Lonchura striata: one gene and its partners. The protein of the gene in region 2 interacts with the protein of the main gene of each other region in a pairwise test. Links are inferred from orthologs where the notes say so. Each region holds a gene or a part of one and is shown on either strand. Other genes may lie near its edges.

The links.
Region 1: the proteins of MID2 (region 2) and GEM interact in binary tests that used the Homo sapiens proteins (3 or more experiments, as listed by UniProt). The link is inferred for Lonchura striata from reciprocal best matches to the Homo sapiens genes MID2 and GEM.
Region 3: the proteins of MID2 (region 2) and LGALS8 interact in binary tests that used the Homo sapiens proteins (3 or more experiments, as listed by UniProt). The two-hybrid records come from large-scale screens. The link is inferred for Lonchura striata from reciprocal best matches to the Homo sapiens genes MID2 and LGALS8.
Region 4: the proteins of MID2 (region 2) and CEP57L1 interact in binary tests that used the Homo sapiens proteins (3 or more experiments, as listed by UniProt). The two-hybrid records come from large-scale screens. The link is inferred for Lonchura striata from reciprocal best matches to the Homo sapiens genes MID2 and CEP57L1.

Annotation. Positions count from the first base shown.
Region 1 is NC_134603.1:24,313,822-24,321,119, forward strand, and holds the start of GEM (GTP-binding protein GEM), read left to right. Parts: upstream 1-4,293; 5' UTR 4,294-4,454; intron 4,455-6,179; 5' UTR 6,180-6,188; coding exon 6,189-6,522; intron 6,523-7,298. UniProt on the Homo sapiens protein: Could be a regulatory protein, possibly participating in receptor-mediated signal transduction at the plasma membrane. Has guanine nucleotide-binding activity but undetectable intrinsic GTPase activity.
Region 2 is NC_134616.1:15,076,471-15,083,420, forward strand, and holds the start of MID2 (putative E3 ubiquitin-protein ligase MID2), read left to right. Parts: upstream 1-3,933; 5' UTR 3,934-4,018; intron 4,019-6,950. UniProt on the Homo sapiens protein: E3 ubiquitin ligase that plays a role in microtubule stabilization. Mediates the 'Lys-48'-linked polyubiquitination of LRRK2 to drive its localization to microtubules and its proteasomal degradation in neurons.
Region 3 is NC_134605.1:45,720,282-45,727,506, reverse strand, and holds the start of LGALS8 (galectin-8), read right to left. Parts: upstream 3,021-7,225; 5' UTR 2,930-3,020; intron 2,770-2,929; exon of another isoform or gene 2,749-2,769; intron 1,131-2,748; 5' UTR 1,046-1,130; coding exon 932-1,045; intron 1-931.
Region 4 is NC_134605.1:69,473,742-69,481,129, forward strand, and holds the start of CEP57L1 (centrosomal protein CEP57L1), read right to left. Parts: upstream 3,023-7,388; 5' UTR 2,953-3,022; intron 1-2,952. Other genes in the region: SESN1 (sestrin-1), read left to right, coding at 3,650-3,889. UniProt on the Homo sapiens protein: Centrosomal protein which may be required for microtubule attachment to centrosomes.

The DNA of each region.
Region 1 (7,298 bases), on a different chromosome or scaffold from region 2:
TGTTTTAATTTCTTTTCCAGTAACTAGACTAAAAAGTAACTTGTATTTTATTATGAACTGAACTGCATTGCTTCCTGTGGCTGCTCATTTCTCATTTTCTGCTGAGTCTTCCACTGTGCTGGCTTAATGCATTAATGGGGAAAATACCTTTTGACACCGGTTATAGTCAACAAAGCTCTGCAGTGCACAGATATAGAATACACATTCCTTTTGGTACATTAGAATCCAGATTATCTGCAATTAATAGACTCATAAGAAGTTCTCCAATGGGTCAGCTGATTAAAGGCAATCCTGTTCCCTGAGAGCTCTAATGCTGGCTTTTACAGCTAACTTGTGTAGATCAGTGCTTCTTCCCTATCCTTGTGCTCATCACCAAAGGGTCATGTTCTGATTTTAGTGCTCAGTTAAAGATTTGTAAAAATGCTGCTGTGATGTGGAAGGAAAGGAGCTGGTGGAACAAATTTAGTACTCCCTGTAAGCAACTCTAGGAACCACGTCGACCAAATCTACACCACTGAAAAGAGCAATGTCTATTTTTAAAATTTGATGCTGGCACTTTCAGGTGCTTCTGACTGTGCCCCTTAAAATGAATCAATGTTTTATTATTTCTTAATTACTCAGTGTCTTTCTCTGCCCTGTCCCCCTCTTAACACCCTCAGTAATTTACCTCAGGCACATAATCCTTCATTTCCCTACCTCATACATCCCAGTCTCAGAGTGTTTGAACCCTTGCACCTTTTCAGCCAGTGTGAAACTTGACACTGAGTCATCAGATGTGAATTGGGATCAGCAAAGGCAAAGCTGTGGACATAAGTTGGTGTAAGTAATCCAACAGTTCCATTGCTGTGGGCTCAATGCTGCTTCATCCCACATCTATTTTTGCCTTTTGTTCTACATTTGCTCGCCCAGCTGCCTGTGGCTGCCTGTGCAGTAGGAATGGATGGTGACAATGGAGCAGCTTCCCTAGGGAGGGCATGCAGTGACTGTGGGCACTCCCAGCATGTCCAGCACTATCCAGCCCAGCACCCAAATTAATTTCTGTCCATAGCTGCTGTTGTTGGTAGGGCTGAGAATAGCCAGGGTCTGCCAGCACTGCAAGATGTGAGAAGCACAGAAAGGTCTGAAATGCCACAATGGTTTGGAGGAGAGGCAGACCTCATTCATTGCCTGTGCAGGCAACTCACTGTTGGAAACAAAGTCAACAAAGCCAGGCTTTCTGAGGAGAATGATACAGGTGAGCTTCTCTGCTGGATGTATAGGGAGAAAACACACTTTCAAACATGCTGCATTCACTTTTCATTAAAATAAATCTGAATTTTGTTTTTCATGCTTTTCTTTTTCCTCCCTGGAATTCCCCTCCTACTCCAAGATGATTTATGTTTTCTCTGTGGACAACACTTACACCAGAAGATTTGAGGAACTACTTTTACCATCATATACATAAATTCAAACTGGCTAATTAAGTGTCAGCTAAAAAGCACTGCTGTTATATCCAATGGAAAATTTCTGCCTAATTGCTCTGGGCATCACCTGGTCTAATTGTAATTGTCTGGGGAAGGATTGCAGAACTGCTACTCTGCAATGTTTACTTCATCCTGGCTGCAGGGAGAATTCCTTTAAGATGTGATTAATGAAACAGAGAGTGGATAAGATGGAAGAAAAACAATGCCTCTGACTTCTGATATGGCAGCGGGCAGTTACGTTCAAGCACTCGTGTGCTTTGCGACAGCACTGGCCTTATGGTTTGTCTCTTCTCATGCCCGTGCCTTGGGCAGGCATGAGACTTGCAGAAATGTTGACCTGCAACGAGTGCAAAAGGGCTGAACAGACCAAGACTGCACCAGTCTCAGTCCATGGGATTGTTTTTGTCCCTATGAAGGACTCAGTTAATATATTTCAGTAATCAGCCTGCTGTTATCCCTTGTAAGTACCCAGAGGCTAAAAAGGCTGCATCTCTCCCCAGCTTTAAAAACAGTTAAGAATATGTTTCACCCACAGATAGAGTGAGTGAAGCTCATGAGTGCTGATGGCATTCCCTGAGGAGCAACAACGTCACATCCTGTGGAGGTGTATGCAGAATGGGACCTGGAGAGTTAATTGTGCACTGGAAAACCAGAGTAGGCTCAGAAGAGACAGTACAAAGAAAAACACATATGTGCAAGTTCCCCAAGTACAAGCACTTCATGCCATGTTGGGACAACTCTTCTGTATGGCTTTAGGGAAGAGATATATTGTGTAGTTCTGGAGAGACATGTTTTCTTTGTCTGTCTTGAATTTTATGAAGAGGATATGAAAGATGATGTCTAGCAATTCCTAATCTAACAGTAACTACAACTAAACACAAAGGCTTTTCTGCCTTTGGTTTATTTCTTCTGTCTGCACTTTCTGCTGTGATATATGTTAAACATTTGGGTGAGACATTAGAGCCTGCAGTTTTGCTGCAATCACTGGCCATAAATCTCTCCAGTCCTGCAGTGGACAGGTTTTGCTTTTTTACTCAGCAGTGAAAAATTACAGACAACTTACAGAGAGCTATGCAAACCTGAGGTTCATACTGCTCCAACCACCCACTCACCTTCATGGTTTCCAGCATGTTTCAAAAAAACGAGCAACTTCAGTTGGGTATGCCAACAGAAAAGGATTTTTGCAAAGTACTGTCCATGTCACAAACCTTCCTGGATAGAGATCTAGTTACATTTTGTGCAGGAAGTATTACAAGCCCCTCTGTACAACCTACACAGAGGGATGTGGCACTTTGTGCTCTTTGGGATTATCGCTGAGCAGCAGAGGCCCTGATGAGTAAGAGACAGGTGGGGTGAAGATGCAGGACCTGGGGCCAGTTGAGCTGCTGCCAAGCACTGAAATACATGTGAAAGAAAGTCAGGGCATATTTTTGCCCAATCCTACCCTTGGTAGATCTGCATAATTTTCATGTATACTGATGAGTACCTATTGCTTCGTGAAAAGCTCTTGGCCTTTAAAACTTGAGAATGGCTCAGGAGGTCCCTGAGAACCCTCATGAAAGATACAGGAATGCAAAAAAGCCAATGGGAAAATAAGGCAAAGAGATTTCAATTGCAGTGTTAACAAGAGATGTTTTCTGCACATCAGTGTTCCCTTCAATAAAGGTACATTGTCAGTTAAAGATTTGCTTACCTGTAGCATGGAAAAAAGAATTATTCCCCTGTTTGAAGCCAAAGTTGTTCAGACTTCTAGGATAAGAACTTTTCTGTTTGATTCAGGGACCAGGAGATTGTAAATATAAATGTAAATATAAAATGTAAACATGTAAATATAAAAGAAAGCAGTAGGACCTCATTATATTTAATCCAGAGTCTGGATAACTGGCAGCTGACTACAGGGTTTGTTTATACTTACATAAAAGTTGTGGTAGCCCTAGTAAGTAGTTCTGTCACGGTTTCTTACTCTTCCTTTGCTAATGAAGAAGTATGTTGTTGCAAGTTTCAACAGGTTTGGATTTCTTGCCTTCTGGCAAAATTTCTTCTGCCAATCAGCTATGAGGCTATAAAAATTTAAGGACCAGACCCTGAGTTTGTGGCATGTACACTATATAGTGATTGTTCCTGTGCACAGTGTCAACACTGTGTGACTTTGTGCAGACTTTGTGTGTTCTGATGCATTTTTGCCAACATCCAGTTGCAGCAACACTGAATTCATAGTTGGATGTCTTTTCAAGCCCTTGGTAGTAAAATATTGAAGCAGAAGTGAGAAAGAGATGCTTATACAGATCAGAAGACTGGGTACAGTCACTTGGAGCCTGACAGAGAATAACATATTTGTAAATACTGGTGCTTTAGAAACAAAGAAACAAACAAAACCCCAACTAAGCCCCTAGAATTAATATTCCTACTTCTAAAATATTTCAAAATAACATTCAGATATTTTATTCCAGAGAAATGTTTTGTCCAGCAGGGGGTTAAGTGTGTTTTGCCGACAGAGAACAGATACATAATACATTTACAGAATTTAATGCATTAAATAAACTTAGGTGATTTTTAAATCATCATTAATTTTGATAACATTTGAATTTAAAACTCTCTGAGGCTAAATAACATCCATTATTTATTTTTGTTCCACTTTCCTGTTTTCATCACGCAAGAACCAAAAGTGTTTATTTTACTGGCAATATTGAAACAATCACATGATTTTGAGTAAGTCTTTTGAGATTGTTTGCAAGTTTTTCTCTGCTGCACGTCTGCTTTCCCCCAGCTGGGGGCTGGCTGTTGTATGGGAAGGCTGGCCACGTCACGGAAAAGCCCTGTCTCTGATCAGATGGGCTTAATATAAACCAGGTTTGCTGAGAAAGAATTAAAGAGGCAGACCCAAAGCAGGAGAGGATTTACTTCAGCAGAGCTGCTCAGTGTGTCACAGCCCACCGAGGGAGAAGGGCAGGGGGAACAAAGGACTGGACTGGCTGCGGGAGCCTGGCACAAGTAAGAGTGGATTTGGACCCAGTCTTTTCCTGGAGCTGCTGCAGACCCAGGCAGCTAAATGCAGTATGGGGTAGCAAAACCAGTTTGAACTTGGAGCACAGTGTGTGACAGGGACTCCTTTGGCTTTTTTTAATGAGGGATGACAATTTGTGAGAGGCTAAATTGTAAAATATTTGTGTTTGTGATGTTTTTGTGAGTGACAGCTTGTTGCAGGTTGTGAGTTACTCTGTTGTTTGAATGCGATCTGGATTTTCTCATCTGATCTTTTCAATGGGGATACTGAAGGGAAAAGTGCATTTCAGAATTCAACCACAGCAAATATTTAAGTTTGTTTGCGAAGAAGTCTTTGCTTAGTACGTGATTTCTTCTTCAGATGTATCTCTTGCTGACAAAGTTATTGTGACTAGGACCATGAAAACGATCTCCTTTTGCCCCAAAGTACTGCACATCACACAGAAAATATTGTGTATTCTGTAGTAAATTCAGATAGTGCTTTTTCTATATATTTTGTCCTTGGTCCTGCTGGGAATTTAGTCACAGAAGTTTTCAGACAGTTTTTTATGAAGAAGAATAGCAATTTGTACATGTTGCTTTACTGTACTTTTTACTGTTCACCATTTATTATTGAGCTTTGAAAGTAGTTGGGTGAATTTTATGGACAATTATCCTATTTACTGATATGGAGGAGAGAGTCAAGAAACATCAGATATAGGGCAAAAAAGAAAAATGTCTGAATAATGGTCACTTTGGAAACTGGAGTGCATCAAAGTAACTTTCCTAAAAATGGTAGGTATTGGCCTGTGAGAATGACATCACTCTTCCCTGCCTCCAAGCAAGGCAAAATAGAGTTTGCTGAGTAAAATGTAATTAAGAGCTATGCTTATTTTAGAAAAATGAACCTATCTAATTAATTGTGCAGAAATTAAGTAATTGATTTAATATCTATAAATTAATGAGCCTTTTATCTCAGTTCTATCTCTTGTAGAAGCTATAACTTGTACCTCCTCAGAAAAGCTGTTGGATTTCACTATGTCCTCCCTCTTACCAGCCAAAAAGTCACTGTCTGAGGCCGAATCATTCTTTGTTTACCTGGCCACAGACAAGACCCAAATCCACCCCATCACAGCAAGACTTGCTTGCATGACTTTTTGTACCAGGGTTGTCTCAAGAGTGCAGTGAATTATGACTTATTGCTTTCCCAAGAGTTTCAGCTCTTAACTGAGTCAATGAGAAAGATGCTGTACACCCAGCTGCTCCGGCAGCTGGAGGCAACTGGGACCAGTGTCTCTGTCTGTCCCCAGTGATGCCAAAAGGAGGTGAACATTGCCTGTACCACAGGCAGTCTCTCGGCAGGGCTGCAGCTGCTGTGTAGGACCGGTGTGGCGAGCACTGTCCCCTCCTTCTCCTCCTGGGACGCAGCAATGCCTCCCTCTTTCCAGGACTGGGCTGCACCCAGCACAGCCGTGAGCTAGTAAAGGCTGAACAAGATAGGATTTAGCATGTGAGGGTGGTATTATCCCTGGGAAACAGTCTCTGTCTCACTAGCTAATAAATAAAATACTGCTTTGTGCACCACCAAGTACGCTAGAGTGCAGAAAGGCTAATTTTTCTTTTCTCACATATTAGGTCCTTACAGAGGAGCATGATGTGGCCCCTTGAAGCTAGTAAGAGAGCATTTCTAAATGTTTCGTGGGTAACATTTGTGATTTCCCTATTTTTCACTAGGGGTTAAAAATGACTCTCAACAATGTTACCATGCGTCGCACACACAACAGCAGCCCGCACCAGCAGCAGCAGCGATGGAGCATCCCTGCTGATGGAAAGAATCTGCTGGTCCAGAAGGACTCCAATGAGTACAACCCACAGAAACGATACACCATCAGTCCTGATGAATATTACAGAAGGAGCTGGTCCTCGGAGTCATCCGACTCTGTCATCTCCTCCGAGTCTGGCAGCAGCTGCTACCGCGTGGTGCTGATCGGGGAGCACGGCGTGGGGAAGTCCTCGCTAGCCAACATCTTTGCAGGCGTGCACGACAGCATTGACAGCGACTGTGAGGTGCTGGGAGGTAGGTAATTATGTCCTGGGGTGTTGGTGTTTGCCTGCAGTCAGCTCTGCCTGTAGTAATTGGCACAGAAAAAGAGAGAGGCCATTTAATGGAAACCAGAAGTAACAAGTGTTTGGGTCTGATTATAAAAACTGATTGAACTCAAGCACCTCTTTTAAGAAAAGAAGAAAGCAAAATAAGATGAGTAAGATACTCTCCAACAATGACTGAAAGCCACTGAAAGAGAGCAATTCAGATTCTTATGCTGTTTCATTCCAAAATACCAGTTGGAAACTGCCTCATTCCTACCTGTGATGATGCTGCACAGGAGTCTGCTTTAGCTTTCATAGCTAGTCCAACATTGGTGTTACCACTGGCATCACAGGGCTGACTCCTGCTTTCCTTTTGAGAGAGAAAACAACTGAAGGTCCTCATGATTTACAAGAATTAAATAATTTAAAATAATATATAGAGAAAGTTACATCCAAAATATTTGCCATTAGAAGTATGTATGGACTGAATAAAATATATAAAATTTTGAGTAAAAACCTTGTTTCATGTTATTTGCACAGTATGTGCTCCTCCAGAAGATGCTTCCCCCTTCTTTCCCCCCTTGATTTGCTTATGATTGCAAAGTTTAGGATTGCAAAGTGTTTTTTAATCCCAAAGATCAGACTGTGCAGAAGGTGAAGTTGGAGCACCAAATCCTGGGTTATACTGTGTGCAAGGTGTTGATGTGGAAGGGTTGTGCTGCCAAGAAATCTGCTGTGTCTCCAAGGATGTAGTCACTGCTGCTT
Region 2 (6,950 bases):
GTACAGCCAGCATCTCATCCCTCTGCCTGATCTGAGGAACTCAGGAGCCTTTTCCTTGGCACAACAGGACTTTGTGAGCAAATCTGCTGCTGAGCTCCAGCATGAGGGAGTGGAAATGGCATTGGCAGTACAGAGATGTGCAGGAGATGGCTGAAAACCTGGCTGGATCGTTCTCACCTGTTAAAGCCTGCCTCCTTTCCCTCTTGAGGGTCCTGGGGAGGGGAGGCAGAGTGGGGGATTGCTCACAAACAGGGTGACACAAAAATCCTGTGAGCCTTCTGAAAGAGCTGTACTGGATTGGGGGAGCATACAGGGTTGGTCTGAATGCAGAAAAGTGCAGACTTGGGAAAACAGATTTCCTCTTCAATAATCAGCCCTGAGAGCCTGTGGGGAAGCTCATCTGCCTGCTGGGGCTTTGGCAGGTCTGTCAGACCACGGGGCCTTAACAAAGGTCTTAACACTGCCACTGAGCCCTTGTGTGAAGATGAGGCATCGCTCTTATCCAGCAGAGTAAATTCTGGGGCAGATGAGTACTCCACCTCCCTCGCCATGGGAGAGAGCTGGAGCTCGTCTCAGGCTCTGAAATTCCAGGCCTCAACATGAGGTGGTGCACAGCATCCACTGCTATCCCTGCTCTGCCGCTCCCTCCGCAGCAGGAGGGAGCGAGAGCAGAATGCCTTTGGGGAAGAACTGGGGATAAAGGAGGTGCTAATGAGAGCTGCAGAAATGAAATCATCAAAATGTAGGAAAGAATCGAGAAGAAATTCTTCTGGGGTAATTCATCCATCAAGCCCTGCTCGTCTCCACACTGGCTGCCTGCTCTTCAGAAGGAGTGGGAAGAGGGATGCAGAACTTCAAAGGATTTTTTTCCTCTGCGCTTTCCACTAGAAGCACAAATTTTCAAGGGGGAACCCTGCTTTATAACCTAGTGTTATTTAGTCAATCGGCATCCCAGGCACACGGCACAACTCGAGTGTTTCCATTCCTGTCTGTGCAATGTGGATGTGAGTGCAGAGCAGCCTTGGGCAGGAAAATCCCAATTCCCCGACTCCAAGCAACATGCTCACAGCCGTGTGATGCAGAAACCGAGATGGTCCCTTGTTCAAAATGCACAGATCCTAGAAGGGCTGCTGAGCACTCGCCACTCCGACACTGACACGCCTTTGTGGGCAGATGGAGATGATCTCCCCACCCTGGACTGCTCAGCACATCAGCGTGAGGAACTCTACCCTCCTGCTGCCCTGCAGCTCATTAAAGTGCCATTTGAACCCTACCCCTTCTGTGTTTTGAGTACATGCACAGACATGACACCACAGTAATTGTAAATATTTGCCCAAGGTCACCTCTGCCACTCTGCCGATTAATGCAGGATCCCAGCTAATCCAGTGCCCATCACGCCTCGAGGGAGGCTGGCATCTGCAGTGATCCATGAGGAAAACTGAGGGACTTAAACATACTGTGTCTCTGAGCTATGGTCTGGTGGGTGCCAGCCCACTCTGGGCCTTGGCATTGGGTCTGTTCAGCAGCTGGAGCCACAGCTGTGCACATCCACCACAGCCCCTCAGCTTGGGAGTGCCAGCAACAGCCAGATCCTGCAGAGCAGGGGAGGCACAGAGGCTGATCTCCACTGTGGCATCCCAGCAGCTGCTCCAGCCCCACGAGCTGGCTCCCAGGGTGCAGAGGAGACACTGAGACTGATCTCTGCTGTGCCACCCCTGCAGCTGCTCCTGGCCCTTGTGCTCCCTGGCCCTGCTCATTCTGCGGTGAGGCTGGCACTGGAGCTAGAGGGACATGGGCACACTGTGGAGCTGGCCACCACACACCTGGGCTTTGTGTCCCTGCTGTGGGAGGAAGGCTGAGGCTCTTGGAGATCAGAGCTGAGCTGCCACTGGTATCTGCACTCCAGCACTGCAGTGAGTGCTGGGCAGTCAGGTTGTCACCCAGAGACCCTTGGTGGTGGGACGCTGTTGTGACCTCCAGCCATCTGCTCGTTTTCACTGGTCTCAGTTCCCTGCAGCCTAATGTGCCATGTCTGGGGGCTGCACATCTCTGCTGTTGCTCAGCCACAGCCCCAGCTCTGCTCAGAGCCTGAACCCACCCATGGCTACCTGCTGTGGGCTACTGGTGGCTCTAAATTTGGAAAAGTGGCTTTAATTTCCTGCCTGTCCAAGGGTCAGAGGATGGGGCCCTGGTCAGGCTGTTCATTCACCTCACATTGCTCTGCACAGGTACAGAGACAAAGGCTGGTCCCAGGACAGCTCTAGAGTCTGTGATTTGGCCACAGCTGCCTGTGCTGTGCTTTCGCTGCTAGAAAATCAGAGATGGGGTTTATAATGCAAACAACATGGTGCATATTAACCCCCCTGTTGTCAGACCCTGCTGGAAGCAAGCATTTGTGATCCCTCTGCACAGTGAACCAGGTGAGAACCAGGCCAGCCATGGTGGTGGTGGCAGCCTTGGCTGCTCAGTGGCCTTGTATCTGTCCTGTCTCACTGAGAGCCACCGCAGGACAGCTGCTGTGTGCTCAGTGTCCACCTGGACCAACAACCACCATTCCTCTGTGTGTGTGTGCAGGGATGAAGGCGCTCAGGGCACGCAGGAGGCTCCTGCTGCTCCCGGCTCACAGCACCTCCTCCAGCACCTGCCAGCAGCTTGGCCTCACCTTCAGACACACCAGGAGCTTGGGTGTATTTTCCCTCATGTTTATTTTTAAAAGACGGCTCATTTTACACTCAGGGCAGCCTTCAAATATAAATAACCTGTGCCACATGTCCCCATATTACCAAGGAATAAATTACAGTTCTGGGTTCCCCCTCCCATGTTTCCCTTTGATGTTATTGCTGTGGATACATATATATATATATATATATGCACTTTGCACGCAACAATCCAACCTCACCCAGAGCTGGTTTGCTGTATGGAGAACGCTGGGTGGGACGTCCCTTTGTGATGCTGAATCAGGTGGTGAAAAGCCCATTTAACTCATTTTTCACTTTGAAAAAAATAAATGTGTTGAAAGACCCAAGGCTGTCAAGGTACCAAATCTCACCATAAACACACGGACATACGGTGCCATCCATCGCATGGAACACGCAGTTCCCCACATCTCCCAGGGACACACGCTGCCCCGAAGCCCGCAGGAGCACAGAGTGTCCCCGATGCTAGGGTGGGAGTGTCCCCCACCCTACAGGAACATTCACTGTCCCCCGCCTGAGGGAGCACACACACAGTGCCCGATGCCATGGAGCACACAGTGTCCCCAGCCCACGGAACACGCACTGCCCCGACCACACAGGGGCACGCACTGTCCCCACGGGGCATTCACTGTCCCCATGGGGCACACATTGAGGGGCACGCAGTGTCCCCATGGGGCAGATGCTGTCCCCACGGGTCACACACTGTCCCCACGGGCAGTCCCCACGGGGCACACGCTGTCCCCACGGGCAGTCCCTACAGGGCACTTGCTGTCCCCACGGGGCACTCGCTGTCCCCACGGGCAGTCCCCACGGGGCACACGCTGTCCCCAGGGGCAGTCCCTACAGGGCACGCACTGTCCCCACGGGGCACTCGTTTTCCCCATGGGCAGTCCCCATGGGGCATACGCTGTCCCCACGGGGCACATGTTGTCCCCACGGGGCACACACTGTCCCCAGGGGCAGTCCCCACGGGGCACGCAGTGTCCCCACGGGGCACACGCTGTCCCCACGGGCAGTCCCTACAGGGCACTTGCTGTCCCCACGGGGCACTCGCTGTCCCCACGGGCAGTCCCCCCGGGGCACACGCTATCCCCACGGGTCACACGCTGTCCCACGGCAGTGCCCCCGCCCCGCGCGCTCCCGCCGGGCCCGTGCGCGCTCCCGGCGCCGCGGCCTCACCTGCGGCGGGGCGGGGCCGGGGGGCGGGGCCGCGCGCTCGCACCGGCCCCGCCCCGCCCGCCCCGCGCGCGCCGCCGCCGCCGCCGTGTCCCCGCGCCTCCAAGATGCCCGGGCAGCGGCAGGGAGGCTCCCGCGGGCCCCCGGTACGTACCGGCGGCACCGGGGCGGGCGGGCGCGCCGGGGCGGGCCGGGGGGGCTCCCGCGGGCCGCCGGTAGGTACCGGCATCGGGGCGGGAGGCGGCACCGAGTCGGGGAGGGAATGCCGCGATCCACTTGGTAGGTACCGGGGCGGGAGGAAGCACCGAGCCGGTCGTCGGGGCCGCGGCGCGGCCCTTCCCGCGGGTTTGCAGCGAGTGCCTGGGCGGCGGACTGCCGCCCTTCCCGGGAGCCGCCGCGGGCTCCCCCCGCTCCCGGTCGCCTCTCCCCGTCGCCGAGTGCGTCTGCCAGCCCGCTCCGGCACCTTCCGCCGCTCGGCGGGGAGACCGGGTGGCCTGTCCCCGCCCGGCGCTTCCCGCGGCCTTCCCGGTGCCCCGGTTCGCCCAGGGCCGTCCTGCTGGGGAGCGGCGGCGCGTTCCGGGCGGAGCGGATACGAACTCGCCGGCTCCCGGCTCCCCGCCCGCGGCTTTGGGGATCCCGCGCCCACCCCGTCATGCCCCCGCCTTCCCCCTCGCCACGGGTTTTTCGGTGGACAGTGTCGTATCCCTCTCGCCGCCCAGCCCCGTGCCCGCGCTCCAGCTCCGCCGGTTTGTGGTGCCGGGCTGTCGTCGCTGCCGCAGAGCCGGTGCGGGGCCGGTGCTGCCCCGATCCTCCCGGGCCCCCCCCGCTCCCCTTCCCCCAGCGCGGCTGGGATCTGCTGAACTCCAGGGCCATGGAACTTAATCGCTAGCGGGCTCCGAGACCGGCGCTTCGGAAGCCGCAGAGGAGAGACACGGCCACGTGTGGGAGGTCTGCCAGCGCTGCCCCCCGGGACACCGGGGGTCGGGAGACGTTCCCGGGGTACTGCCCGCGCTTTGGGGTGTCAGCGCTGAGCCGGCAGCCGAGTGTGTTTGCTTGCGCCGAGGATCTGTGCGGCTGCTGGAATACGCGCCCAAGTGACACCTCGTTCTCGTGCTTTATTTTTCTATTTTGCCTCAAAAAAACATCCCAGCCGCAGGTTTATTGCCCCGATGCGCGCAGCTGGCGAGGGCTAGAGCACGGCTGGAGCGCGGTGAAGGGCCGCTCTGCCCAGCGGTCTGCGGAGTTTCCGGCGAGGGCAGATGGCTCTGCTTGCTCCGTCATTCCCTCAAGTCCGGACACGCCGGCGTTAATGGCTCCTGCCCTTCCTGGCTGCCGCCCAGGTCTCCCCAGCCAGCCCGGAGGTTTCGGCTCGGCTTTTGTTGTCGGAAGGCGGCTTCAAGGAGACCGGCTCTGCCGGAGGAGCTGCCGCAGCCGGGTGGGAGCTGGCAGCGGTGCGTGGCGGAGCGCAGGGCGCTGCTGGCTCCCGGGTGGCAGGGGGGCATCATCGGGCAGTGTCGGGCAGATATGGGAGATGTCACCGACCTGCCGGGGGGGCATTGAGTGTAGGCTCGAGTTGCTCTCAGACCCTTCTGCAGTGCCCTTCCCTCCTGTACCCCGGCTGCAGCGGGCAGTGACCCTCAGTCTGTGCTGGAGGGGCTGTGCAGAGCTGCTTCCGCTCCTCCGGGTGTCAGGGGCTCTGTGCTGAGCTTGTCTCTGCTGCATTTTGCCATCAAGGAGCACACTCGAGGCTTGGCTTGTGCCCCTGAACAAGGGGTAGTAAAACTGGCCACAGTACGGAGGGAAGGAGGGAGGCTGGCCCAGGCAGCAGTGCTGGAATACCCTCGAACCGAGGGGATGTTCCCTGAGGACACTCCTGGGAAAAGACAGTAAGTGCAATAGCACTACAAGCAGGAAGGATGAATTGATGCCAAGGACAGCAGCAGCTGTCTCGGTTCAGGCAGGTGGCTGCAGAGCCCTGGATGTGCCGGCTGCTGCGATCCGAGCTGGGTCTGTGCCCTGTGCAGCCTTCCATGGCGGCTGCGAGGCCGTGCCTGTGCACAGCCCACGTCCTGCCTGCTTTGGAAGTGCTGCTTTGCAAAAGAAATGGAGCTGCAGTGGGTGATAAATCCCTGCCTTGCAAAGCGTGCACCGGGTGAGCTGTGCTGGCCTCTGAGGTGTGTGTCGGTGTGTGTGCCTGTTTGTGAGCAGAGTGGGATTGGCCCTGGGACCATGTGAGATGGATAAATGACTTACTTTTAAAGCCAAGATTTTGTTGTCTCCTGCTCCGTCCCCTCTAGGGATGGATAGGTGTTTCTAAACCCACGCTGCGACTCACCTGGGCTCTCTGTGGGTTCCTGAGCTATCAGCTGTGGCTTCTGTCGTGTGGAGGGGTGCCTTGAGCCTTTTAGCTCTTGGGTCAACCCCTGGCTTTAAGGGCGTTGGAGCATCCTGAAGACTGGTCTCTGGAGAGACCAAGGCTGTCCCATCAGAGATGCTGGAACCAGAACTGTCTGGTTCACTAAAGGAAGCTGATGAGCAGTGTGATTACTTTGTTCGTCTGGAAGGAGTTCTGCTGCTGATTACAAACACCTTCTGTAACAAACCCACCTTAACCTGATCGAAACCCCTCTGAGGCTGGTGCTCCCCTCATTGCAAGGGGAGGGTGGCTGCTCCCCTGAGCTCCCTTCTGGAGAGGGACAAAGCCTTGGGGAGCCTGTGTTGCTGCTTTCACTTGTTTTCAGTGTTCTTTGCCTGGAAAGCGAGTGTGTTGCAGCCAATGAGTGCCATCATCTGGTACGAACGGGCAGCCCTGGCAGCCCCTCTGACCAGGAGCATCCCCCGGCCTCAGGCTGCTGCCTCCAACGCCATCGCTGGCTGCTGTGGAGCCTGGGTCCCAAAAATGCCAGGGCAGGGAGGTCAGCTGCGGGAGAATGCTGTGTCTGTGTGGCTCTGAAAGGCTCCTTGTGCTGTGCGAGGGCGGGGGGCTCCAGTGGCGTGCAGGGAGCATCTCACCCCTCGGATCCCGGGCGCCTGCCTGTGTTCCTACGCAGCACTGGAAACACTGGGCTGCACCTTCGT
Region 3 (7,225 bases), on a different chromosome or scaffold from region 2:
GCTTTCCTTCCTCTCCCAGCTGGATTCTTCTGAAGGAGGTTGAAACCTCATGCCTAACTCTATTCACTTTGCAGCAGTGACCATACACTGGGAATAAACAGTCAGATTCACTGAGGACCCAAGAGTGTGACAGTGCAAAGCTGCAATAGATAAGGAAGTCCTGTGCAGGTCTGTGCCACTGCACGTTCCACATATATACTTTACTGATTTTGGTATTTTTAAAGGGATCTAGCACAGAATGGTAAAAATACTATTTCCTGCAGGTTCAAATGAATGACCTTTTTTAAGGCACAACAGAAAACACAGCTTCAGATCACCCCTTTATGGTAAGCCCAAGTCAGGCTGCTATCACAGACCATGAGAATGCTAGAACTTTTCAGAGAAAGTTTCCAGACTCTGAGCCAGGCAAACAAAATCCTGTCAAATCTGGTCTCTGCAATTGCTGAATCATGTCAGTTCAAGTTTTCCGTAGAAAACAGGATTTATTATGAATTAAGATATGAACTATGAAAAAAGATTCCAAGTTTAGTTGTTCAGACTGAAGTTACAGGCACAACAAAATAAACATTTCATGAGAGCTGCCAAACCCCACCCGTATTTACAGAGAATCAGGAGTGAAAACAAATCATACTTTCACTTTCCAGCATATTCTGCAAAAATGCCAGACATCTGTGTAAGCTGTACATGAAACAGGATTATCCTCCAAGGCTGACAGAACGTCTGTCCTCTTTTGGAAGTCCTGTCCATTTGTTTACAGCACAATTTCTAAACACCATCAGCTCTTCATGTCACCTGTGACATTCTCCCTCAAACACCTGAGTGATGCAGAGCTCTCAGTAGCATCCCTCACTGTGCAAAACAGTACTGTTGATATAAAACAGCAAAGTCCCATCTCCCAAGGGAGACACTGTCGACATGACAGAGGAGTTACCGGGTTACTGATTGTCTTCTGTGATGTATCCAAGGGCAATTCAAGCATTTCTTTCTGTGGTGTATCCAAGGTCAGTTTACACATTTCCTCCTGTGGTGCACCTAAGGATGTCATCTTCCCACCTCCAGCTCAGGTCTGTCAGTTCTGTGTGGCCACTGCTGGAGAACTCACTGATCAGGCAACACCAAAGGAGTGACCCCTTCGGGGAAAAAAAACAAAAAAACCAAAAAAAACCCCAAAAATTTTAATTAAAGAGAAACAAAACAACACAACATGAATTAAAACCCTCCAAGGTACAGCTACAAATAGCAGAAGAAAGTATGCAAACATCTTTCCAGTACCTCTGCTAGAGTTTTGAAATATGAAATTAAAAGGCTTTCTTAAAGCACTGAGATGCCCCACTGATAAACAATGTCAACAGGAGTGTGCTATCCCCAGATTTACCATGGCAGACAAGCCTTAGCAAGTGACCTTGCCTTTTCCACCTTTATCTTACATAAAGCTAAGAAATATTAGGCAAAGAAGAGAAACAGAGGGTGTTTTACATTTCTTCCTCTAACACATACAATCTCAGAACTCCACAAGTAATAACAGAAATTTATAAAACTATAACAAAATGCACAACATTAATAAGAAATAAAGTTTGTGAGTATACTCAGCTACATTGCAACTTCTTTAGCAAATCCTTTAACAAAGTGTCCAAAATTCAGGGCCAAATTGAAACTACCAAGTATTATTTCTGGCATACACTGGAGAAATAAGGTAGCATATAAACTATGTGGTGATAACAAGCAGACAGGGAAAAAGTCAAAGGTGAAGGCTCTAGCCACATTATTGTGTGAGAACAGAAAGCTATGTTAACGGAGAAGAAAAAAAAAAATAAAACCAAAACAGAAAAAACTCCAAAACAACACAAAATCAAAACTCCAAGGTCTGTGGCCTGTTCCACAGGGGTTAATCTTCTGCAATGATTAATAGAGTGGTCCATTTTGCAACATCTGACTTAGTCTTGTTGAAGATTTGGACCAGATGGGTATTAACTCACCCACTTAAGACCAGTATCTAGAATACAACTCAGAGAACATAAGGTCTCAACACTGCACAACTATTTTGCCCTTTGATCTTCTCAAGGGATATTACCATAAATTCACTTTTGCCTGTGCAGGCATGTTTTATCGATTTCATTTTTAAAAGGAGAAAATAAAGACCAAATCAAACAATAATTTTGCCTTTACGGTTGTACAGTCCAACAGCAGACCCCACAAAAACGAAACTTACAGCTCAGCTGTATCCTGCTATCTGAACTTCCTGTGCCTGCAGCAGGAATCTAGATCCTGCTAGGAGAGGATCCTGGCTCAGGATCTTGGCAGAGCCAAGAGCAGGTGGCACTATGACAAAGTGATGAGTTAGGAGTTTTCTTATCTGCCTATTACTGTTTTACTGGCAAGGTCGCAATAATGAAGGAAAGCTGCAATTCAGGCTCTGTTTGTCCAAAGGACGTGCAACTGCAAAGCTCTCCTGTATCCTCCTGCCACCACCACCAGGGTACGTGTTACACCAAACCTGCAACACGGCAAGTTAAGGTTCCCTGGTGCCCTGCTATCTCACACATTCCCAGGGGCTGGAAATATCTCCCACAGACAAACAGGAAGCCACAGAGACCAAAAATAATAATAAGCGGTTATTAGGCTTCCCACTGTGATACAGAGAAAATGTGTCGCTCATGAGTTACTTTCATGAGGGTAACTCCGGCCAGTCCTTACAATTAAAGCGAGATCTGGCACCAGTGCGAACAAGGATTCTGCACAGAGAATTACCGAGACGCTTTCTGGACATCTTCAACCACTTAAAGTACAAAACACTGGCGGTGTCCCCCGTCCTCCGCTATAAACCCGAGACTCCCGAACACTGGAAGGACACAGGACGAAGCAACCTCGGCCACTTCAGCTTTACGGCGAACCGAGGCAGTCCCTCTGCCCGACACGCACGGTGTCTTACCGCAGGACTCCCCGCGGCGCTCAGCAGCGCCCGCTCCCCCGCGGGACGCGCCCGCCCGGCCCCGCCGCCGCCATCGCCGCCGCGCCCGGCCCCGCCCTCACCGCGGTGACGTCACCGCGGCGCCGCCCGCGCGGGGGCTGGGGCGCGTGCCCCGCGCGGCCTGCCGGCCCGGCGCGCGCAGGCGCCGCCCCCCGCGGGGCCGGGCTGAGGGGGCGCTGTGGCGGGCGGGCTGACACCGCGTGAGGTGCGCTGCGCTCCGTCCCCTGCGGCTGCGCCTTCCTGCGTGTAGTGTGCTTCCGCGGAAGGCCTGTGCCCAGTGCTCTGCCACCCTCTGCATAAGTTCTCCCTGACATTCCTGGGGTTTAGTTTATGGCCATTGCGCCTTACCCTCTCACTGGGCATCAAGAGTTTAGCACCATCCTCTTGAACTCACCTTTGGGATATTTCTATGCATTAATGAGATCCCCTCTCAGCCTTCTCTAGACTAAGCAGGCCCAGCTCTCACAGCCTCACCTCCTAAGAGATACTCCAGACACCAAATCATCTTTGTGGCCTCCACTGGACCCTCTCCAGGAGCTCCTTGTCTGTCTTGTATTGCAGGGCCCAGAACTGGACACAGCACTCCAGATGTGGCGTCTGTAGGGTGGAGCAGAGGGGCAGGGTGACCTTCCTCAGCCTGCTGGCCACACTCTTCCAATGCACCCCAGGACACCTTTGGCCCTCTTGCTGCAAGGGCGCTGCCGGCTCATGGTCAGCTTTCACCCACCAACACTCCCAGGTCCTTCTCCGCCAAGCTGCTCTCCAGTAGATCTGCCCTCAGCCTGTGCTGGTACTTGGGATTATTCCTCCACAGGTGCAGGACCCTGCACGGGCCCTTGTTGAACCTCATTAGGTTTCTCTGTGCTCAACTCTCCAGGCTCTCCAGTGACCCACAATGACTGTGGTCATTTCTGTCCCAAGCCAGCTTCCGTCTGCCTCAAGGCTGTGGTCTATCTTCCTGTCCCCTTGCAAGCCCCACTAAGAGTGATTTTGGTAGGATTGGTAAGGTAAGCAGGAAGGCCAACAAAGCCCCTTGCAGTTTTATAGCTCATTATGTGTAACAACAAACAGTCTGCTCAGAGAAGCACTACAACCTCTGTTAATACACTGGATGGGGAAAAAATGAGCACAAAAATAAAGAGTGCAATATAAAAGGCTCATAAGCTTAAATCACCATCTCCTGTTCGAATAAAGGCATTCAGTATTTCTTTGCCTTGCAAAAAGCAGTGTATATGGTTATAGAGAATTTAGAATGGCATTCAGCCACTTGTCACAAAGACCACTAGAGTATCTTAGCTAGATAATATCCAGTCTTTTATTCCACAATTAACCGACACAGAAGCCCCATCTCAAATCATCTATCTACTTGCTAGAATTCTTCTGATAGTTGTAGGATTGCTGCTTTTATGGGTACCTCAGCTTACCTATATAAAACTGGAAGGATTTGTTCACAGAAAGGTATGATAACACTTCTTTTGAGGAGAACGGTAGAAATGAGGTGCTTGGATAAAAAAGCAGCAAAGCAGATTGCCTGGGGAAAGGTACCTTAGAATCATGAGTGGTTGTGAGAGAGGACTGACAACTACAGTGTATAGTTAGCTGCCAGAAAAAAGCCTGCTATTCAACTGTTCTACATAATTCTACAGCGCTACTTAAAAAGAGAACAAATAAACTACCACTTAGTTTTTCTTTGAATCTATTTTTCCAGGCACTCTAGTTGAAAGAGTAGAGCACTTTAATAAAACCAGACTTACATAAATACATGAAATACACTCAATTGTCAGTATGAGACTGCAACCTCAAAGCAGGTTTGAAAGTTCAGGTCAAACAGGAAAGACAGAAAATATGCTGAAAGGTTGGAATAAAAAAATATGATGCTGAAAGGAATAGCAATAAGCAGAAGTGTTTCTAGAACCACAGAAAATAAAGTTTTACTGCTTTACTACTTCTTGCTCAGGGCTCTTCTACTTTTGGGAAGAAACAATCCAGAGGAAATACAGTGATTTGTATTATGCACCAGTTCCTTACTGAAGCAGAACAGCTGTTTGATTATGTGATTTTAGGCTGAGTCATAGGCAGTTTATGAAATTTGCAGGGAAGCCCCTATTTCAGCACCCAAACCTAATGTAGCATTGACAATGAGTCAGTTGGCTTACAGCTTCAGCATCTTTGTGCTAAAGTGCTGTTGTTTTGTTCATAGACTGTCTTCTGATCCTGCTGATTTCTTGTGACTGCTATTTTTAGCACCATTTACTAATGGCAGTCCTGACAGCAAATAACAAAGTCTTCCCTTATTTCCACAGTCCCAGTCCTAATTCAGGCTTTTTCTTCTAAATTTGATGTGCACTCAGCCATTGCTGGGACTATGTACAATCCTATCAGCAGACTTCCCATGTTCCAGCAGAATTTTGCTTGCTGGAAAAACAGAAATGCTTTGTCAAGACAGATACAGCCAATTTCAGCTGAAGTAAATATAGCAGCTATTCTTGGCCATAATGTAGTATTTCATAGAGGACCCTGTTACCCCTAAGAAATTTTACCTGCCTCTCCTGTCTTTGATGCCAAGCCTGTAACCTGTCTCTCTCAGGGTAGCAAGCCATGGCTGAAAGTCAAGGTGAAAACATACATAGTCATACTTATTTGGCCTGGTATTTTATGCACAGTTCCAATTATACAATTTCCATCAATAATGGAATTCCCTAGACTTGAAACAAATAAGCACTAGTCTCCATTAAGACATTTTCCCATGGAAGTTACTCTTGGCTAATTTTTCTATAGTGCTGTTGTACCTGAATAGCTATTTTCCCCTAGATTACACAGTACTACAGGCCACAGGTGTAAAGCCTCTAGCACATTGGACTGTTCAGCAGACATTTTATGCTTAAGGATGTCCTATGATTTCAAAAGACTGACATTGTTGTGTCTTCTGTAGTTTTAGTGGAGCTGTTTGTGCATTACAGCATTTCTCATGGAAATTATTCCCCTAGTTTCTTTGAAAAGCTTTAGACTCAAGGAGGACATGAGTCCTCTTGGTACACCAACATTAAAATTTCAGCTGACAGCCCAGTTGGCTCAGCTTTTACTTAGCCACGAGTTTATCAGTGGCCTTCCATAACTTTTCCTTGATACGTCACTATTTAGCTTCAGTGATCATTCAGATCTTCCAGTTTTCAGTTTAAAGTTGCAAATCACAGGAAACAAAAAGTCATGGTTTTTAAAATGAGCTTACAGATCCAAAAGCTTAAAATTATACAGCTGCTTCAGGAACTAACAAGTATTCTATTTTTTGTTGCAATGCCTACTTTTTAAAGCAAAATGTTTAAGAGAAGCATAAGAGCAAACAAGGTACAGAATAGATATGCAGGCCAAAGGACAAAAAAGGTACCAAGAAGTCATTAGACCTTCTGAAAACCAATTCTAGGCCATATAACTCTTAAAACATACTCACCCCTCCTTTCTTAAATCAGTGACATGACACTCTAGGTTTCTTGAAGTAGTCAGGATCACTCCTTCATTTGTGTTGCAGTAGACAGGAGAGTGAACCTGTGCCTGTGCTTGCCCTGTCTGCACACCCCAGCATACCCCCACCCCCAGGCAGTTATGCCACGATCTGCACATAGTGATTCAATCCCTGCCTACCTAGGAGATAAAAGCCAGGAAACACTGTATGATGTTCTCCAAACTTGGGGACTGTTATCCAAACCCAAGATCCCTAGAACTCTACCTTCACGCCTTCATCATTTTCCTTGCAGTTGCTCCTGGATATCCCTGGTGAGTCTCTGCAGTTACAGATGAGCTCACCTGCCCTCAGCTCTGCTGCATTTTCAAGGGAGACATGCGAGGGCTGTAGTATCACCTCTCACCACGAGATGGTAGGTGTTTCCTGATGGTTAGAGAGGATCAGGCTTTTAGCAGACCTTTGAGATAGTGAACTTCTCAGCTTCTGAGAAAGAGGCATAAGCAAATAAGGACCAAAAAAACACCCACTGTTCACAGGATTGTGAATGAAGTAGGGGAAGCTCATGTATATTGGCTGCAAAGACAAAAATAAATTCTCAGCTTAGATTCAAGATATTTTTACTACTGTAAGGATTTGCACAGCCCTTTATTATCCTGGTTCTTTCTGTTAAGAAACTTTTATGTTATGTAAATTTTTTTAATGTCATCAACAACATGAAACTTGAGTTATTTTTTGAAGCAAAAAACATTCCCAAATTAAATATTGGGTCATTTTGAAACAAACTTATTATCAAAAAA
Region 4 (7,388 bases), on a different chromosome or scaffold from region 2:
ACTCAGAAGCAAAAAAAGGCCACATCTCCTAGACAAAATGGCTTGGACTTGACACCAAACTTGGTGCTTGGGTTCAAAGGCAGTAGAGGAGCAGCCTCCGGCCTTTTGGTGTCTCTTTGCAAAACAGGAGTCACAGAACTTTGTTTTCTCAGAGGGTAGTTGTGAAGGAAAATGCATTTAAATCTGGAGTACCATTTATTGTGGCAACATGCCAAAACACAGATCTAAAAAGGGTGGGTGAACTTTTTGAAGACTCATCCAATTATTTAGGTATTTAGCAATTGGAATGAAGTAAGCCTTAAGAAAATCAAGTGTAAAGGAAAACAGTTGAAGGAATTTAATTTAAAAAGCAGTTCCTTCTAGACTGCACAAGTTTTACTGTGTTATTATTAGTTCTCCAGTATTTGACTAAATGCATGCTTGAGAAAAGTGCTCTTTTGTGACATACAGAAACTGGAATGAACTTTTAAAACTAAATATAATGTATTTTAGATCTTGTATCTTAGAAAGAACATGAATACTATTACTAGACATTGTATTTTCAAAAATAATTCTGCTGTTGGATGTCATCTGCTATAGAAGTCTAAAGAAGGCTATAGAAGTCCTTATCTAGTTTAAAAAAAAAAAAAAAGGAAGTTGATAAATCATGAAGGAAGGAAATACTGAGATTTAAAACAGCCACAAATTTGTTTTTCTTCAGCTTATCATTTTGAAAACTCAACTGCTGCAATTCTGGATGAGTTGCCAGATTGTTTCCTTCATAATTCTGCCTCTCTCTTATCCGTTCTTTAGGGATCAAAAACAAGCATATTAACTGCAGTCAGTGAACACACAAATCAAACAAACACATTGCCCTAACTTTGGGCTCTGATTAATTCCACTGGTAGCCTCTGACCTTGATTTCCACAATGTCTTGCAGTGCATAAAGAAGCCTGACCTGGTATCAGAAAACTGCAGAGATTTGGTTTGGAAAAAAAATAAAGCCATCCTCATTGCTATTCCCTAAGTCTACATTAAAATCTATAAAACAAAGGGCTGAAATCTGAAGTTTAGGCCTTGGAGCCAGTTTCACAATCTGTTTCCTGTAGCCAGAGTTCATTTGGAGCCAGTGGAAAAAACAGCTTCTAAAAGATAAAAGGCAGTGCTGTGACTTTCAATCAATCTTGGCATTCAGTGTGTGAATACAGCTGTACCAAAGTCTAAAACACCAAAGCTCCAGCTCTGAATCTGGTTCACTCTTCTGATCTTGGATGTATGTTGTCATTGTCAGAGGCACCCAACAACTCATGATGGGAAAAATAAGATCTAGCCAACTTCTGGAGATCAAAATATAGATAGAAATAAAGCAAACAGATGTGACATGCCCATTCATGGGAAAATGGGAGACCATAATGAGTGACAACAGAATGGGATGGGAAGCTGAACTGGTAGCTAATGTAAAAAACAGAAGAAACAAACAAAAAAAATCCCTTCAACAACATAAAAAGCACTGGAAGAACGATTTTCTTTGAACCCATCAGTTATGGTGGGTGGAGGCCTCAAGTGCTTAGAGAAGTCAAGACTCATATTTATTACAGGTAGTGCTGATTTCAGCAGATGCATTGTTCACGAGGGTGCCAAAGGCCTGGAGGAAGCAGCTGCATGAAGCAGTCCAGGCCTGTCCACCCTCCTGAACAATGGCAATGCAGCCTCCTTGCAGAAAGGATTTTATGGGAAAAAAAAAGACCAGTCTTCCTTCAAAGGTACAGGTAAATGCACGTTTTAAAGAAACTGTTCCAGAAGAAAAAGTGATGGCGGATAAAGAAATCAGATTCTGTACAAAGAAGAAAGCTGAAGATGAATGGTGTTGGTGAACCTGCCCAGGCTCTGTTCCTAGACTCAGAAGTGGTTTCTGTGTCTTTCTGTGGCATAAGAGAATCTCATTCTGCATTTAACTTCAGTTTTGACATCCGAATTTTAGAGTGGGAAATGTGTACATGAGAAGTTAAAAATAATTATGCAAGCCCCTATGTAGGCCCAATGTCCTGTTTCTAATTTACTCCCAAGTATTCTTTTGCCTTTCTGTACACTCAAAATTTTAGTGCTTCAATGTGACAGCTGCAAACAGTTCTGCACTTGTTTTCTTCTCCTCTTCACTGCCAAGAGGTGAACTGGATCAAGGAACTGACTTAGCTGAAAATATAAATTTATCAACAGCAGCTTTTTTCTTTTTTTTTTGCCTCTGCAGGAAAAGCAAGGCAAGCAGCAATACCAGCCTCTTTAGTGGCAAATTACACTTAATCACAGAACGGCTGAGTTTGGCAGGGACTTCTGGAGATCCTCTGGTCCAAACCCCCCCCTCCTCAAGCAGGACCACCCGGAGACAGCTACCCAGGTTGCCCCGTGTCCAGGCAGCTTTTGAGCATCCCCAAGGATAGCAAGTCCACAACCTCCCTGGGCAACCCGTGCCAGCGCTTGGTCACCCCCACAGTAAAAAACGTGCTTCCTGATGTTCAGAGGGAAGCTCCTGTGTTTCAGTTTGAGTCCTTCGCCTCTGATACCGGCACTGAGCACCACCGAGAACATCCTGGCTCCATCCTCACTGCACCTTCCTTCTAGGCACAAATAAATGTCCGGATATATGCGCGGCCAAGATTCCCCCCGAGCCTTCTCTTCTCCAGGTTCATCAGATCCTGCACAACTGGGATTTAAAAAAATCCCCTGGGATTAATCTGGATAAAAACACCGCTGAACTGTGGCTCAATGTGAATATTACGGGGATTTCCCCGCCCCTCCCATCTCTCCTCCATCCCAAGTGTGACGGGATGCGTTTCGCTAGCACCGACGGTCCTTCCGCTCCCGCTGACGCGCTCGCTTAGGACACATCCCAGGACTGCTTCACCCCCGGCTGCCGCCAGCCATCGGCGCTCCATAGCCTGCTGCGATAGACCGCAGAACCCCCCAGGCCCGCACCAAACAGGACGGCGGGAATACCGTGCGTGCATCCCAGCGAGCGAGCCACCTCCGGCGGGATCCCGGCCGCGCGCCGCGCTGCCTGCCGGGACACGTGGTCTTCCCGCGCGAGGGCCACAGGACGGCCCTTTGGCCGGACTACATATCCCAGCAGCCCCCTGGAACGGCCGCTCCCCGCCGCAATTGGGCCCCCCGGCCGCGACGCTGAAAGGCGATTGGCTGAGCGGCGTGTCCGTCATGCGGGTTCCCCGTGCTGGGCGGGGCTCTCTCCCCCAACCCCGAGCGAGGGGACTGCCGGGGGTCGGTGGCGGCCCCGGCGGGGCGGGCTGAGGGGCCGCCCCGAGAGAGGCAGGGCTGGGGCCGCCCCTTCCCTCCATGCCCGGGGCAGGGAGGAGGAGCCGCCGGCGCCGTGGGGTGGTGGCCGCCCCTCTCCCGGTCGGGAAAGGCGAAGCCCCAGCGGCTCCGCTGGCTCGGCAGCCCCGGCGCGGGAGGGCGGCGGCGGCTGTCGGGGGCACCGGCCCGCGCTGCCCCCCATGCGGCGCGGGCAGCGGGCTCTGCGCTCGCCGCGGCCGCGCTCGTCGTCGTCTGTGTGGGCGGGCTGGCGGCTGCCGGGAGCCCGCCATGGGGCGGCCGCGCCGGGGCTGCTGAGCGGGAGGAGGCGGCGGCTGCGGCGGGGGAGCAGCGGCCGAGCGGCCCCATGGAGGAGCGGGAGGGCGAGGTGCGCTGGGACGGGCTGTGCAGCCGGGACGCCGCCGCCCGCGGTGCCGCCCTGGACACCATCGGGCAAGCCGTGCTCCGCCGCGCAGAGAGCATCGCCTCCGGGGCGGCCGCCCGCGACGGGCTGGGCGAGGCGCTGGCCCGCCTGCTCATGCTGTCCAAGAGGTGCCCCTTCCCCGACGTGAGGGAGAAGAGCGAGGCGATCCTCGGCGGGGTGCAGGTGAGCGCGGCTGACCACCCCTTCGGCTTTGGGACCGGGCGGGGGCTCTCCCGGCCCCGTCCCGCGCAGGGCGCCTTCGGGTTACACCTGTGCGACGAGGGGGGCGGCTGATCCACCCTGTCAGGTTTATTCCTGCAATTAATACTTGCTAAGTGCTCCCCACCCCTACGGCTCTCTCCCCAGAGAAACATTTGGAAAAGCGTTGTTGAAAGGCGGCGGGGGGAGGGGGTGGAATATCTTACTGAAGACACTTGAAAAACACTTGGATGCGTTCCTGTGTCACCTGCTCTAGGTGACCCTGCCTTGGCAGTGAGGTTGGACTGGATGATCTCCAGAGGTCCCTTCCAACCCTAACTATTCTGTGAAAAAGCACGAAGTCTTTCAGTGGAATCCACCAGAGAGGACTTGGCAATGAATGGCTGGAAAGTTGGGGCATCCCCAAGGAAGCACTAAAATGACAACTTTAACACTCTAGTTTCAGTCTGTATAAGTGCTGTGGTATTACCCGGTTAACTTTAAACGAAAAGCAGGAAGGATTTGGGTACTGATATTAGTGTTGCCAATTGAAAATATAAATGGGAAGTTTTGGAGCTTTTAAAAGCCATATGAGCTTGTTGTTAAGGCAGAGCCCATCAGAATGCCCTTCTTGTTGTTTATTGGTAAATAGTTTCTCCACTGGCATCAATATGATCCAAATTATTTTTTTTTCATAGCTCATATGCAGCCTAGCCAATAGAGGAATACATTTACTGACCTAATGCTAACAAAAATAAATGTTACTTTGTACTCTTCCACTCTTACAGTCTAATTATAGTTACTTGCATTGCGATTGTCTTGCTCACCTCTGGTTTTTGCTCAGGTCTTGGAGTTCTTGTATCAACGGGTCCAACAGCACTGGCTAAAGATATTACTTTTAACTGAAGAATAGGAAAAGGAAATTCAGCTATTTCTTTTAATCACAAATGAATAGAGAGCTGTGCATGGAGATAGCTGCCTGATTGTCACTACTGTGCTTTTTCTGCCTGAACTTTAACAGGTTGAATATAGGGGAATCCAGGGAAACATAATAACAATATATGAAAGTACTATAGGTATAATAATTTATACATTATATGCATAAATATGTATAATATAAAACCCATTATATGTTATCATATATATAGAAACACATTCTGGGTTTGAGTTATTGGAGCTGAAAGAGTCTCTGTTTATTTTGTCTAACTTCTCAGTACTGTGCAGTGTGATTAATACAGTGTAACTTATTTTACCCAGTTTAGGCTGTGTGTGCAGTTTTTCTCAAAGCTGATGGTTTCATGTGGTCTAAGTGGAAAGCTTGACAGCTTTTCTTTAAAAACCAAAGCCAGTGAAACAAACAACCACCCCAAACTTGAATACTGAGTTGAAAACTTTAATCTGGCATTTTCCCTGTTAACTGTTCATATGAGAAGTGAGTCTGTTACCAGTGAGAATGATGAGTTACTGCAACAGACTGCTAAGGGAAGACTTGTTTTTGTCAGGTTCAAGATATCAGAATCTATTCCAAAAACAAACAGATGGTGATCTCTCGCCTAAATTTTGGGGTGAGGTCAGAATACAGGACTGGATGACTCCCTTTTAAGTTTTTATGCATTTGAAGTTAGTGGCATGTTCAACTATTAGTGTGGTTTAGAAACTTTGTGACTAGTTTTTTTTTTTTATAACTAGGGCAAAAAGTTCTGGCAGAAAATGTCCATCTTCATACAGCAAATGCAAGTTCAAATGCCGTGATCCTTGCTGCTTTGATTAATAAACCATAGGTTTGAAAGGTTTAATAGCTGTGAAACCAATTGTATACACACAAGGTGCAGTAAAAGTTTTCCAGCAAGTTAAGCAAAATAAAATAAAATAGAATATTATTTTAAGAAAATTTTTAAAAGCTGCTTTTGTAAATTTTCCTTTTCAGAAGCATAGATCTGAGAGGAGTATTCTGTATTTCATGAATTTAAGAGTGGCAAATCTTAGTTCTTGTGTCTGTACTCATAAGTGAAAATTTTCATTGTAATCTTTGGATCCACATTTGTTGGAGAAATAATCCAGTGCAAGTGTTCTGTTTTGGGTGCTAAGGACTATTGTCAGGCATGAAATGGTTTTCGGTTGATTAATGACCAAGAATAATATTGTTCAAATCCCTGCAGTGAAGATGGCAGATAGAGCAAACTATTAAATTAAATATTATCACCACACAGAACTTTCAGCAGTGCTTCCAAAGGTTAGTAACATAAAAATGTGCAATCCCATTCAGAATAGCATCAACACTTGTGTTACGTTATCTCCCTGTTTTGGAATCTGAAGTCCACACCAATATGTACAATTATGCTGTCTAAAGTTATTAAATGATATAGAGCCTAGGGCAGGAGGGGCAACTTCAAACCCAGAAGTTCTCCTGTGAACTGGGGCTCCCCTCATTCTCTCTCTTCTGGAATGGTCCATCCTAGACTAGAACTCTGAGACTGTACTCATATATTTCTTTTTATTCCTGCCCACCCCAGCTGCCTCAATATGGAGAACTGCAAAATGTACTTTATTTATCTTTCAGATTTGCTTCCAGCATAAATCAGTGATGAAATCAAATATTAGATTTTTCCCTGTGGTCTGATTGCTATTTCTTCCTTTGAGTTAGTGCCCTCTTGCCTGTTGGGGCCGTCAGCAAATATTTAGGCATGAGTGACTGGTGCTCCTGGTGGTTTTGCAGCTTTGTGTCTGGAGCAGGTTGGTAGAGTGCATTATATGGCTGGTGTAGGCTGCAGGCTTGGCAGCAGCCTGTGTCAGCATGGCATCCCTCTAAGTCTGCCTTTGTTATGTTTTGGGGTTTTTTCCCCCGGATAAAAATTCCTGTGATATATGGTGGAATGCTAAGTGTGCAGCTTTCTTATTTGCTATTAATAAATAGCATTAATAATGATATTATTAATAAATAATATTGCTTGTATTACAATCTATAGAATTAATTATAAATTCCTGTTGATTTGAATTATGTTTGGGATAATGAGTTTTCTCATTGTAGGCTATATGTCTATATATGAATAATAACATATACTTTTTTTACCTGAGAGAATACATGTGTTTTCCCATTTAGAATAAATGACTTTTTTTGTAAGGGTTATTATAAAGACAGTGTCAACAAATTAGTCCTCTTCTTTCTAATTTTTGCTTTTATTAATAAAAGCAAGTTCCTAAAGCCACTTTGACCTCAATAGATAATTTAAAAAATGTTTTAAAGATATTTCAATTGTAATAGTTTAACCAAGTGAAAACAGTTTAAACGTTTGCATTTGAAAATGTTTGATGAGTAGTTTTTGAGGTAAACCCCCCAATATGTATCATAGGTTCTTGGTAGATTCTTGCTCATGGGGTGTTTTGCATGTATTTATAGCACAGTGCCTATGACCTTGCAGAGTAGTGCGTCATTCCTCCCAGTGTGCTGGGTGTCCGCACACCAACACAAATATATTGGGAAAGA